2 linked regions of the Oryctolagus cuniculus genome follow. The protein of the gene in region 1 interacts with the protein of each later gene in a pairwise test. Links are inferred from orthologs where the notes say so. Each region holds a gene or a part of one and is shown in the gene's direction. Other genes may lie near its edges.

Region 1 (7,083 bases):
GCCAAGGTCAACCCCTAGCATCATGCAGCCTGGCAGAGAAGGGCAGGAAAGAATCGGGGGAAGAGAGCGAAAATAACCAGCACACCAGTCTTTTTCCAGACTACCTCCTAAGTTCAATGTCAAAAACCAACCGTATCATGCCATCCTCCAACATAAAACCTGCCAGTAGATTTGCAGAATCTGTAGGACTAAACCTAAACCAGACCGGCACCGAGGCTCACTAGGCTAATCCTCCGCCTAGCGGCACCGGCACACCGGGTTCTAGTCCTGGTCGGGGCGCCGGATTCTGTCCCGGTTGCCCCTCTTCCAGGCCAGCTCTCTGCTGTGGCCAGGGAGTGCAGTGGAGGATGGCCCAGGTGCTTGGGCCCTGAACCCCATGGGAGACCAGGAAAAAGCACCTGGCTCCTGGCTCCTGCCATCGGATCAGCGCGGTGCGCCGGCCGCAGCGCGCCGGCCGCGGCGGCCATTGGAGGGTGAACCAGCGGCAAAGGAAGACCTTTCTCTCTGTCTCTCTCTCTCTCACTGTCCACTCTGCCTGTCAAAAAAAAAAAAAAAAAAAACCACCTAAACCAGGATGTTTAATGTTGCCCTGATTATAGCTTCAATCCCCAGTTCTTGTCTTGGTCTACAACCATTCTACATCATTTCCAGGATTCCCAGTATCCCATGCTTTCACAGCTTTGCACTTTGGCCATATTCCTTCTTCCCAAGCCACCTTTCTGCATCCTCCTTGCTTGGTCAACTTCCACTCAACCTTTCAGAATCAAAAACTTAGCTCCAGGGGTGGGCATTTGTGTGGAGGGAAACAGTCAATATTCCACTGCTTGGGATGCCTACATCCCATCTCACAGCTCCTGGAGTTAAGTCCTGGCTCAGTATCCAACTCCAGCTTCCTGTTAATGCACACCTGGGAGGCAGCAAGTGATGGCTTAAGTACTTGGGTTCCTGCCATACCTGTGGGAGACACAGACTGAGTTTTAGGCTCCTGGCTTTAGCCTGGCCCAGCCCCACTGCTGCAAGCATTTGGGGAGTAAATGAGCATGGGGAAGATCTCTGCCTGTATGTCTCTGTCTGTCTCTCTGCCTTTCAAATAAAAATAAGTGCAAATTTAAAAACTTAACTCTGGAGGAGGGCATTTGGCCAAGTGATTAAAATGTCCAGATCTCATATCAGAGTATCTGCATTTGAGTCCTGCCTCTGCTCCCAATTCTAGCTTCCTGCTAATGTGTACTCTTTAGGGTAGAAGGTGTTGGCTCAAGTGGGTGAGTTCCTGGGACCTGGGTTAAGATCCTGTCTCCTGGCTTTGGCCCTAGCCTAGCCCTGGCTGCTGTCATATGCAGTTGGGGAGTAAATCATGATCCAGTAGATAGGAGTGTTTCTCTCTCTCTCTCTCTCTCTCTCTCTCTCTCCCCCCCCTCCCCCTCTCTCCCTCCCTCCCTCCCTCCCTCCTTCCCTTTCTGCCTCTCAAAAAACAACAAAAACCAAAATGTAGCTGTAGAATTAACTCATACAGAAAGTTTTCATTTCCAGAGTATTCCCATTACTTCCTTGTTTACCTTCATCATAGTACTTAGTTGAACCAAGTGCCCTTTTACCCTTGAGAAGAGACATGTACATTTTAGCTCACTATGTAACACAGAGCACCATTCCTGGCACAATGCTGTAATCAGTAAGCATTTTTTCAAATGAATAAATGGAAACTAAATATTAGGAAAGAGGCAAGAAAACAGTATTGCAATAAAGCTCTTGGAAATTTTAGGTTATGGGGGAACGTCTCAGAATCTAAAGGGTTTTCTTTTTCAATTCATTTCTGTTACATTTGTTTTTTTTATAGGCAGACAAAGATACAGAGAAGACCACAGCCCAAGGACTTAGAATTTGAACACTAAAGGTGAATCCTAAACTTGGGCAATGTGTTTTCTATCAATTTTCTAGAACATGGAAAAGATACTGCTTTGGTGTTAGCTTTAAATCTTGCCATTGTTTTAAATTATTTTTTTTTTAAGATTTAGTTATTTATTTGAGAGGTAGAGTTACAGACAGAGAGAGGGAGAGACAGAGAGAAAGGTCTTCTGCCTGCTGGTTCACTTCCCAGATGGCCACAACGGCCAGAGCTGGACCAATCCGAAGCCAGGAGCCCAGAGCTTCTTTTGGGTCTTTCACGTGGGTGCAGGGGCCCAAAGACTTGGACCATCTTCTACTGCTTTTCCCAGGCCATAGCAGAGAGCTGGATCGGAAGAAGAGCAGCTGGGATCCAAACCATGGCCCATATGGGATGCCAGTGCCAGGCAGGTGGAGGCTTAGCCCACCATGCCACAGCGCTGGCCCCTAAATTCTTATTTTCAAAACATGTATATCAACCCAGACATTTCTGGAAACTTCATGTTTTGACAATTTTTGCTTTATTTGTATATTAAAAATATCTAACAACTGTGGAAACTATTCTTGCTTTATTTAGATTTCAACAGTATCAAATGCTTTCTCACCAAAAATTCTTTCAGAGAAAACCAAAATGCTCCCACACTGCAACAAAATAGAATTATTTATTATGATTAACATATCTTTATTTAGATTCTGCCCAAGATGTCATATGAATCCTCAGTAAGGCTTTGTTTTCTAAAACTACATACTTTTGGGGCTGGCATTTTGGCAAAGCATATTAAGCCTCCATCTGTGATGCCAGCATCCCATATGGTACCTGTTCCAGTTCTGGTTGCTCCACTTGCAATCCAACTTCCTGCTAATGTACCCGGGAAGGCAGTAGAAGATGGCCCAAGTGCTTGAGGCCCTGCACCCATGTGGGAGAACTGCTCCGGGTTCCTGGCTTCAGTCTGGCTCAGCATTGGCTGTTGTGGCCGTTTGGGGAGTGAACCAGTAGAAGATATTCTCTCTCTCTCTCTCTCTGTGTGTGTGTGTGTGTGTGTGTGTGTGTGTGTGTTTCGCTCTCGGTAACTCTGCTTTTCAAATAAGTAAGTAAATACTGGGGGAAAAAAACCTATATTCTTCATATATCCTAAAGTGCAGTGTTATCCACTGGAAAATAACCCTCCTTAAAATTCTGCCACTGTTGAGTCAAACATCTGAAGATCCAACACACTGAACGTCAGGCGCCCCGGACAACGACAGGAATACGCCAAAAGATGAAGAGCACATACCCTCTCACTGGCATATTCCAGGAAGAAGCCGTCCAAGTAGACGCCCCAAAGGCTCGCAATACTACGTCTCCCAGAAGACCTTGCGACTACCAGCGACCACAACTCCCAAAATGCACTGCTCCCCGCACGCAGGTTTCCATCGGTGCTGGGTCTTGTAGTTCTCCCAGGTGGTGTCAATTTGAACCACGAGGCGGAGCGTACGGACTCAGCCCCAAGATACTAGGCGTGATTTTCCAGCGGTTGGCAAAGCGAAAAGGCTTCGGGCCTCAGGGCGAGCTGCGCTGTCTTATCTGCTTTGCAACAGGGTAAGTCATGGGGGAGCTACTCTGCGTCGCAGGGCCCCACCCTGTGTTCCTGAGCGCAAGCTTGGTCTGGCGGAGCCTTGTGTCCCTAAGCTCTCGCCGTAGCAGCCGCCGCCCATCCCTCTTTGTGTGCTTCGGGAAGCCGCTGAGCTGGTGGCGGCGGCGATTGTCGTTGAGGGCTTAGGCGAGGGACGTTACCGGGAAGTTGCCGACGGGAAGACTCTTTCCCCGTCCCGCCACCTCACAGGTGGGTTGGCTGCTCTGCCTCGAAGGCCCTCCTGCCTGTCCCGCGTCGGGACTCGAAGGGCGGCCAGGCAGGTCCTGCTGACAGCGCCCTCCGGCTCTGGGGAGAGGAGGCGGGGGGAACCGGGTGCCGTGACTCAGGGCAGCCGGCGGAGAGGAGTCCACTCCCTTCCCTTCTTGACCCTCAAGAGGCGGCCTGTGGAGCCTAGAGGCTCGGCCAGCGTCCGCCGGCCCCTTCCTCCGGATTCCCTGACCTGGACCGCGCCTTCTTGGCGGTGACCCCGGGGTGGGGGAAAAAGTGATTCCTTTTCTGCTTGCTCCGTTTTACAAATATAGGTCATTGCTAGCGTTTCCCCGCACCTCGTGTGTGTTGGGAAGGTCCCTACGCGGGGCTTGTAGCGCCGAACTCTGCAGACTTCTCTTCCCCGGAGTTTTCAGAAAAGGAACCGATCCGTCGTCATGGAGGCTCTGGCCTCAGGATGAGAGAGAGACGGACGGGTCAGCTGCAGTAAGAGCCGGTCAACCTGTGTTGTTGGGCTTTGCCTAAAAATATGCTTACTCTAATGTCCCTTAGCGGTAGTACCTCCATTTTACGGTTGACACTGAGCAAAAATAACGCGGTTAGCTAGCTGCACCTGCAGAGTTAGGTGTGGAAGTTCTCTTCTACCGTGCGCAGCTGGGTAGCAAGGGCGGCGTTTGTCCCGGTGGATAGAGTGAGTCTCTTTAAGGGTCGGTGGAGGCAGCTTGTCACTGTTTTTGTACGCTTGGAACTTATCGACTTGTGATGTCAGTGTCTCTGGACTATTTTATAAGAGAAATTTCCTTTATGTGTTTATTGGAAGATAGGGTTTTTCCCCCTCTCTAACCCTCTTTATTTTGATGTAACAATTGAGCTTTTTTGGAGATTCCTCCTACATACAGTTTTCCAGAAGTTGGTTTTCCCAGTTTTCTTGGTCTGAAGCATAATTTGATACTTCAGTTGTACACGCAGAGACGTTGATCATTCTAAGTCAAAATATGAAGATGATAAGTTACCTTTTGCTTTATCCCTATGATACTTTTTCAATTTTTAAAAACCCTCGAATCATTACTTTTTCCTAAAACTGAGGATAAAGTAATGTTCATGTAGTTGTTTTTAAACCTCTGTTTGTAATGTTATCTAACTTATTCATTATTCATTTAGCCAGTATCAATGCAATGTTAAGGTCACTGTGCTGTAGACTGTGGAGACAAAAATGACTAAAACACAGGCCTTGATTTCAAGTAGATTACAGTCTAATCTGGAACATTTCAAGTGTGTTCACAAGTAATTGTATAAAAAGTGTCCTAACAGGTGTAAGGTAAGGTGTGAGTGGAGAAACAAAGAAGTTGATCGGACTGATAACGATGGTGCCCTTTGCACTATGCTGTCTTTAATATTACTGCTACCATGGCCCTTCTAGAATTTGCAAATTTGCAGAAATTTTCTTTGTCCTCATGGTTTTTAGCAGGTTTCTAGGAATGAGTGCAACACTCGGTAGTAGTTTGGATCTGTGTCACATTACTTGAGAGTTCTTAATGCCAGCGCATATCTTAAGAGCCCGTCTTTACCTTTATCTTCATTGCTGTAGTAGGAATATATTGTCATAGAAAATCTGGGCATGTGGGAGTGCGCATCTGGCACAGTGGTTGGGACCCCATTTGGGATACCTGCATCTTGTATAGGAATGTCTGGATTTGTTTCCTGCTAATGCACATCCTGGGAGGCACCAAGTGATGGTTTGAGTATTTGGGTTCTTGCCACCCACATGACAGAACTAGATATGGTTTCCCACTCCTGGCTTTAGCCTTGCCCAACCCTGGCTGTTGGGGGCATTTGAGGAATAAATTGATAAATGGAAGATCCATGCCCCCCCTCCCATTCCCTGCACCTTTCAAATAAAATGAAAATAAATAAATTTAATTTTTTTTAAAGTAACAAAGTTTTCAAAAACTTGTGGTGGGGAGGATGTTGTTGTGGTGCAGTGGGTTAAGCTACCGCCTGCAATGTTTCCCGTATGAGGGCCTATTTGAGTCCCAGCTGCTCTACTTCTGGTCCAGCTCCCTGCTAATGCTCTTGGGAAAGCAGCAGAAGATGGCCCAAGTTCTTGAGGCCCTGCACCCACATGGGAGACCCCAGTGGAGTTCTAGGCTCCTGGCTTCAGACTGGCCCAACCCCAGCCGCTGTGCCTGGGGAGTGAACCAACAGATGGAAGATCTCACTGTCTCTCCCTCTCTCTGCAACTGTGCCTTTCAAATAAGTAAATTCTTTTTTAATTGGGGGCATGTAAACAATAAAGAACTTATTACATGCTTTCTTGGTTCACTCCCAGAATGGCTACAATGACCAGGGTTGGGCCAAGCCAAATCCAGGAGCCAGTGGAACATTATCTTGGTCTCCCACATTGACCAGGGGACCAAAGCACTTGGCCTGTCTTCTGCTGTTTCCCCAGGCGCGTTAGCAGGGAGTTGGATCCAAAGTGTAGCAGCCATGACTTGAACCAGTGCCCATATGGTATGCCTGCATTGCAGCAGCAGCTTAACCCGTTACACCATAATGTCAGCCCCTATGCTTATATTTTTAAAGTGGAGATTACATGCTCTCTTTATATAGTATTGAACTGCAGGGCCTCTCGGGATGGTTATCTTTGCTAAGAACTGATTTTTTTTTTAAGTGTGCTACTTTTGCCAATGTATTGATTATTGGAATTCATTGTATGCTTGTTAAGGTCACAAACATGTCGGACAAAAGTGAACTAAAGGCTGAATTGGAACGAAAGAAACAGCGGTTGGCACAAATCAGAGAAGAGAAGAAGAGAAAAGAAGAAGAAAGGAAAAAGAAAGAAGTATGTTTAATTTTTTTAAAGAATAACAATATAAGTAGAGTTTATTCCTAGTACATATTTTTATGTAATAATTCCAAAATAGAAAAAATCTAGCACTTACGACTGTAGATGTATTATAATCAGCTCCTACTTTAAAGAAACAGGCTAATATGTGAAAATTACACAACTGGTAAATTAAAATGTGGTGTTGTTTTTTTTTTTTTTTTTTTTTTTTTTTTGACAGGCAGAGTGGACAGTGAGAGAGAGAGACAAGATAGAAAGGTCTTCCTTTGCCGTTGGTTCACCCTCCAATGGCTGCCGTGGCCAGCGCGCTGTGGCCAGCGCACCACGCTGATCCGATGGCAGGAGCCAGGTACTTCTCCTGGTCTCCCATGGGGTGCAGGGCCCAAGCACTTGGGCCATCCTCCACTGCACTCCCTGGCCACAGCAGAGAGCTGGCCTGGAAGAGGGGCAACCGGGACAGAATCTGGTGCCCCGAACGGGACTAGAACCCGGTGTGCCAGCCCCGCAAGGCGGAGG
Region 2 (6,502 bases), on another chromosome or scaffold:
GGTCTAAGAGTCAAAAGGATCACACAAATAAGACTAGTGTCTGCTAATACTAACTGATAGAATCAAAAAGGGAGAGAACGATCCAACATGGGAAGCAGGATACACAGCAGACTCATAGAATGGCAGATGTCTTAAACAGCACTCTGGCCTCAGAATCAGCCCTTAAGGCATTCAGATCTGGCTGAAGAGCCCATGAGAGTATTTTAGGCATGGAAAGCCAAGACACTCTGGCAAAAAAAAAAAAGGAAGACCTAAATGAAAGATCTCTGCGAGTGAGATCCCAGTGGAAAGAATGGGTCATCAAAGAAGGAGGTACCTTTCTCTGAAGGGAGGAGAGAATTTCCACTTTGACTATGACCCTGTCGGAATAAGATCGAAGTCGGCGAACCCAAAAGGCTTCCATAGCCTTAGCAACTCATGCCTAGAGCCTAGGGAGATTACTGACGCCATAAACAAGAGTGTCAAATTGTTAAGTCAACAACAGGAGTCACTGTGTACTTACTTCTCATGTGGGATCTGTCCTTAATGTGTTGTCCAATGTGAAGTAATGCTATAACTAGTACTGAAACAGAATTTTACACTTTGTGTTTCTGTGTGGGTGCAAACTGATGAAATCTTTACTTAATATATACTGAATTGATCTTCTGTATATAAAGATAATTGAAAATGAAAAAAAGAATAAATATCTATTTACTCAAACCTTTAATATTTCTTTATGATAAAACAGTCTAAAATACTATCTTTTACCTTGTTATAAAGAAATATCTAGTATATTAACATCTATAGTCACCCTACCACAGAATTCTTACTCTTGTCTAGGCAGGACTTAGTACCTGTTAATCAACCTTCCCTCTTTCCCCCTTTCCTCCCCAGCCTCTGGTAACCACCATTATTCTCTTAACTTCTGCAAGATCACCATTTTACAGACTCCACAAATTAGTGAGATCATGTGATACTTCTCTTTCTGTGCTTGATTTATTTATTATTTCACTTGGCACAGTGACCTTCAGTTCCATCCGTGTTGTGGCAATGGACAGGATTTTTATCCCTTTTATGGCCAAGTAGTATTCCATTGTGTGTATGTACCACAATTTCTTTACCCATTCATCAGTGAGTGAATACTTAGGTTGTTTCCATTTCTTGACTATTGTGAATAGTGCTGCAGTAAACATGGGACTGCACATGTCTCTTCAACAGACAAAATTCACTTCCCTTGGGTATATAACTAGGAGTGAGAATACTGTCTCTCATGGTAATTCTATTGTTTTCCACACCGGCTGTACTAATTTACATTCCCACCAACAACGTGTAAGGGTTCCCTTTTCCCCACATCCTCTCCAACAATTGTTTTTTTTTTTATTGTAGCCAAACTGGAGTGAGGTGATATCTCATAGTAATTTTGATTCATGTATGTGTTGGCCATTTGTTTGTCTTCCTTTGAGAATTTTTGAATATGTTTTAGAGCATCAAATTTACTTAAACATTTGTGAGAGGGACTTACTTAAGCAATGTAAGTAATTTAACCAAAAACATTTTCCAATTAAAACAAACTCTGGGGTGGGCATTGTGGTGCACAGATTAAGCCTCAGCTTTTGATGCCAGCATCTCATATCACAGTGCCAATTCGAGTCGTGCCCATTCTGCTTCTGATCCAGCTACCTGCTAGTGCACCAGGGAAGGCAACGAATGATGGCCCAGTTACTTGGGTCCCTGCCACCCATGTGCGAGACCCAGATGGAGTTCCTGTTGCTAGCTTAATCCTGGCCCATCCCCAGCTGTTGCAAGCATTTGGGGAGTGAACCAGTAGATGGAAGATCTGTCTCTCCCTGTCTCTTTCTGTCACTCTGCCTTTCAAATAAATATATTTATGTCTATTATATAAATAAATATATTTTATATAAATAAATGATATACTGTAAAGTTAAAAACATGTGTCACTTGAATTTTTATATGAAATATGTGACTTCAAAGAGATCTCATTTTTTATAGGTTACTTTGAGATATACAACTGTTTTGTTTCCTCCTCCTCCTGTTTCTGTGAGCCAACTCTTGTGTGCTGTTTAAACATTTCCATAGAGGCACTTGAAAGACTTGAGTGAACACTAGTTTAAACATTTCAGCGTTTCCTGGATGATAGTTTCATCAATTACTTGTTTTCTTTATCTCTTGTTGTTCTTATTTTCTTTCCTTTGATTCCGTGCCCTTAAACCCATGCTAATATATTTTCCTGCTAAACTCTTAAAGCCACTCATTTATCAATAATATGCATGTATTTTTTGAAGATTTATTGATTTGAAAGAGTGACAGGGAGAAATACACACACAAACACACATCTTCCATTCACTGGTTGATTCCCCAAATGGCCAGAAAGCCCCAAACCAGCTGCCTTGGTCTCCATCTAGGTTTCTCACATGTGGGTGCCAGGGTCCAAGTATTTGGACCATCTTCCACTGCTTTCCCAGGCACTTTATCAGGGAGTGGGATTGAAAGTGGAGCCTCTGTGAGTTGAAACAAGGTTCCAATACGGAATGCCAGCATTGCAGTGGCATCCTAACCTGCTGCACCACAATACTAGCCCCAGTGTGAATCTATTTTATTTATTGTTAGTAGTAGAATTTTCTCCCCAAAAGATCTCAAAGAGAAAGTTACAATGAAATTAACTTGAAACTTAAAGTGTATTTTATTTAAGATGTACAAATTGTGTTATCGAAGCCAATATTGTTTCAGTCACAAACATTTTTTTGAATACCCCCTATGTGCTCAGGTGCTAAGTCTGGCCCTGGGAATACAGAGCTGTTTAAGGACCTAATTTTTTAGTAGGACTCCAGATCAATGGTAATTAATTAGTTTAAATGTTAATTAATAGTAATTAGCAGGGCTATCCATGGTGAGATTCTCATCCCCATGGTGTTTTGTATTGTTTAGAGCAAAATTGGAATGGCCCTATTAGGTAACCTGAAAGGAAAATGAGTGCTGTTATTTTCTCATTAAGGAAAAGCCATCACAAGAGAGGCAGAGATTTGCCCACTGGTCATCAGTTTGGTATTGGTAACGCCAGAGTTAAAACCCGGTTCCCCTGATCCTTTAGGTCACTGCCCTCCTACTCTGTCATGTTGTTGGACTTTGTAGAATAATTTGAGAGCCACATTACTTTTATCAACTCCTCTGAACTATTCTTTTTCTGCAATTATCATTAGGGAAGATTTGATAATATTCAGCTTTTCTGTATTAATTAGTATCTTCATAAAGTTTACTTTATAGTACATGAAAGTTGTATGTGTGTGCATGTGTGTTATTAAGCTAGATTCTAAAAAATGAATGCTTTATTTTCCAAGACCTATCACTTGGATATGAAATAACAGCAGCAAAAATGATGATAAGAACAATAATAGTTAACTTTATTATGTGCTTGCTCTGTACCAGTCACTGTGTTTGAGTGCTTGGCTTTCATCACCTCATTTCATCCTCACAACAACCTGATAAGATGATGCCATTATCCCCACTTTAAGAATTAGGAAAATAGGAGTGTGAAGAGGGTAAGTTACTGGCTATAGATCACACAACTGGTAGGTATAGAGCTGGCTTTAAAACCTAAGATTGTAACATTAAAGCCAGTGATCTTAATCAGGTGTCAGAAGTGGATGCAAGTAAGCACTAGGGAAGATTATTTGACTTTTTCTTTCTAGAGCATCTTTATTCACTTTCAGTGGCAGGAGAGCTTGCTGTTTTATAGCTAAGCAATTACATAATATGAATGAGATTGTAATTGTTACACATGAGAATTGTGTTTTTAAATTAGTCCCATTCTATGTTTCTAGCATCTGAGGCCTAGTTTAAAACCCAGCTGTTTCAAAGCCACTCATTAACCAATTAATACCACTGTCTTGCAGTCTTTCCACCCCAAAATCCTTTTATGGCATACTTTATCACCCAGGAATAGTCTTTCTTCTATGACAGATATTAGAGTTCTTTTGTTTGTGTCTCTGCTAGAGTAAGTCCTTTACAACAGAGGCCATAGCATTTTTACTTTGATATGACCCATGGTATCTCACAGAATGAGATAATGCATATAGAAATGCTTTGAAAACTCTTAAAACTCTTTTAAGATTTATTTTATTTATTTTAAAGAGTTACAGAGAGGGAGGGAGAGACAAAGAAAGAAAGGTCTTCCATCTGCTGGTTCACTCCCCAAATGGCCGCAATGGCCAGAGGTAGGCTGGGCCAAAACCAGAGCCAGGAACTCCACCTAGGTCTCCTGCATGGGTGGTGGGGACCCATACATGTGGGATATCTTTTGCTGCTTTCCCAGGCACATTAGCAGGGCACTGCATCAGAAGTGGAGCAGCTGGGACCTGACCAGCATACATATAGAATGCTGGCATTGCAGGCAGCGGTTTAACCTACTCTGCCAGCACATAAAAACTCTTAAGCAGTTGGAAACAGTGCATAACAAATATTAGTGGGTGCATATTTTCTAATATATCTTATTGGGTAATACGTATGGTTTATGCTTTGAATAAATTTTTCTAAGAGTTTGCAGCTGGTGCTGTGGCGTAGCGGGTAAAGCCACCGCCTGCAGTGCCGGTGTCCCATGTGGGCACCGGTTCAAGTCCTGGCTGCTCCACTTCCAATCCGGCTCTCTGTTATGTCCTGGGAAAACAGTGGGAGGTGGCCTAAGTCCTTAGGTCCCTGCACCCATGTCGGAAGACCCAGAAGAGGCTACTGGATCCTGGCTTCGGATCAGCGCAGCTCTGGCCATCGTGGCCATTTGAGGAGTGAACCAGTGGATGGAAGACCTCTCTCTCTCTACCTCTCCTTCTCTCTCTGTGTAACTCTGCCTTTCAAATAAATAAATACATCTTAAAAAAAAGAGTTTGTGTAAAATTTGTTCTCTTGGCCTAATTTAGCTGTCCTCTGTCCTTTCAGTGTGTAGATGGAGTGTTAGGAGGTGAGGACTATAATCAGAACAACATCAATCAGTGGACTGCAAGCATAGTAGAACAATCCTTAACACACTTGGTTAAGTTGGGAAAAGCTTATAAATACATTGGTAAGTATCAGTTTTCCTCTACTCATCTTTGTCTTTGTGATTCTCTTTGAGTTTTGAAAACACATGACTTTTGACATAATCATCCAAAGATAATATAAATAATATCTAAAAGATATACATCATTCATTATGCAAAACTAGTTTAATCTCCTTTTCCTAAGTAGCATGAGCCTGAGCATTTGCATGGTTTTCTCTTGCCATTGAGACCCCTTCAGCTCTTATTGTCTTCCTTTCAGTAGCCCCACGCCTCTTTGTATGACTGTGAAATTCCACACCTACTGTCAAGTGGAATGTTTTCTGTGTTTGAATTTTGCCCACAGCACAAAGCACAGAATTGGACCCAGAATGTTCCTGCAAGGCAATCACCAATGGTTATAGCAATGATGTACAAACCAGCCAGATCCAGTAGGTTTAAGATTGTGATGGTAGATAATCAAAATAAGAGACTTTTCTTTTTTAAGAAAGTATTATATGGGGCCGGCACTGTGGCGCAGTGGGTTAAAGCCCTGGCCTGAAGCACCAGTATCCCATATGGGTGCCAGTTCTAGTCCCGGCTGCTCCTCTTCTGATCCAGCTCTCTGCTATGGCCTGGGAAGGCAATAGAAGATGGTCCAAGTCCTTGGGCCCCTGCACCCACATGGGAGACCTGCAAGAAGCTCCTGGCTCCTGGCTTCTAGATTCTGATCAGCGTAGCTCGGGCCGTTGTAGCCAATTGGGGAGTGAACCATCGGATGGAAGACCTCTCTCTCTGTAACTCTAATCTTCAAATAAATAAATAAATCTTTTTTAAAAAAGAAAGTTTATTATTTATTTGAAAGAGTAAAAAAGAGAGAGAAACAAAGAGATCTTCCATCCACTAGTTCACTCCCCAAGTGGCTGCAATGGCCAGGGCTGGGACAGGTCAAAGACAGGAGCGTGGAATTCCATCCATGTTTTCTATGTGGGTGGCAGGGACCCAAGCACTTGAGCCATCTTCTGCTTTCCCAGGTACATCAGCAGGGAGCTGGATCAGAAGTGTAGTAATCAGAATTTGAACCAGTGCATCTCAACAGTTTTAATTTTTTCAATCTACTTGCCGAATTCTTTGTTTTCCATTGTTTTTTCCACTTTTAGAGCTGTGAACTCAAGCAGTTCATTGTTGGCTCACTTTCCCTTTTTTGTAAGTGTCCTCACTTTGACTTTATTTGTAGTGACCTGTGCAGTGGTCCAGAGGAGTGCATATGGCTTTCATACCGCCAGTTCATGCTTTTGGGATACTACTTCTGATGGTAAGAGACTTAAGGCTGATTCACACAAAATTGAATTTCTAGTTAATTGAACAGGGCACTTTTTATCAAATACTTATTTATATCTGATTAAATTCTATAAAGACTTTGTCAACAGAATTGCTTTGCACTTACAATAAGTATGCCTTCTGACCAGTATGAAATGTGAAGACTTAAAAGGTATAAGG

What was found.
Region 2: the proteins of DYNC1I2 (region 1) and DYNLT3 interact in binary tests that used the Homo sapiens proteins (3 or more experiments, as listed by UniProt). The two-hybrid records come from large-scale screens. The link is inferred for Oryctolagus cuniculus from reciprocal best matches to the Homo sapiens genes DYNC1I2 and DYNLT3.

What each region holds. Positions count from the first base shown.
Region 1 is NC_091434.1:69,426,726-69,433,808, reverse strand, and holds the start of DYNC1I2 (cytoplasmic dynein 1 intermediate chain 2), read left to right. Parts: upstream 1-3,249; 5' UTR 3,250-3,460; intron 3,461-3,501; exon of another isoform or gene 3,502-3,704; intron 3,705-6,447; 5' UTR 6,448-6,456; coding exon 6,457-6,564; intron 6,565-7,083. UniProt on the Homo sapiens protein: Acts as one of several non-catalytic accessory components of the cytoplasmic dynein 1 complex that are thought to be involved in linking dynein to cargos and to adapter proteins that regulate dynein function.
Region 2 is NC_091453.1:23,860,952-23,867,453, reverse strand, and holds part of DYNLT3 (dynein light chain Tctex-type 3), read left to right. Parts: intron 1-4,926; coding exon 4,927-5,050; intron 5,051-6,239; coding exon 6,240-6,317; intron 6,318-6,502. UniProt on the Homo sapiens protein: Acts as one of several non-catalytic accessory components of the cytoplasmic dynein 1 complex that are thought to be involved in linking dynein to cargos and to adapter proteins that regulate dynein function.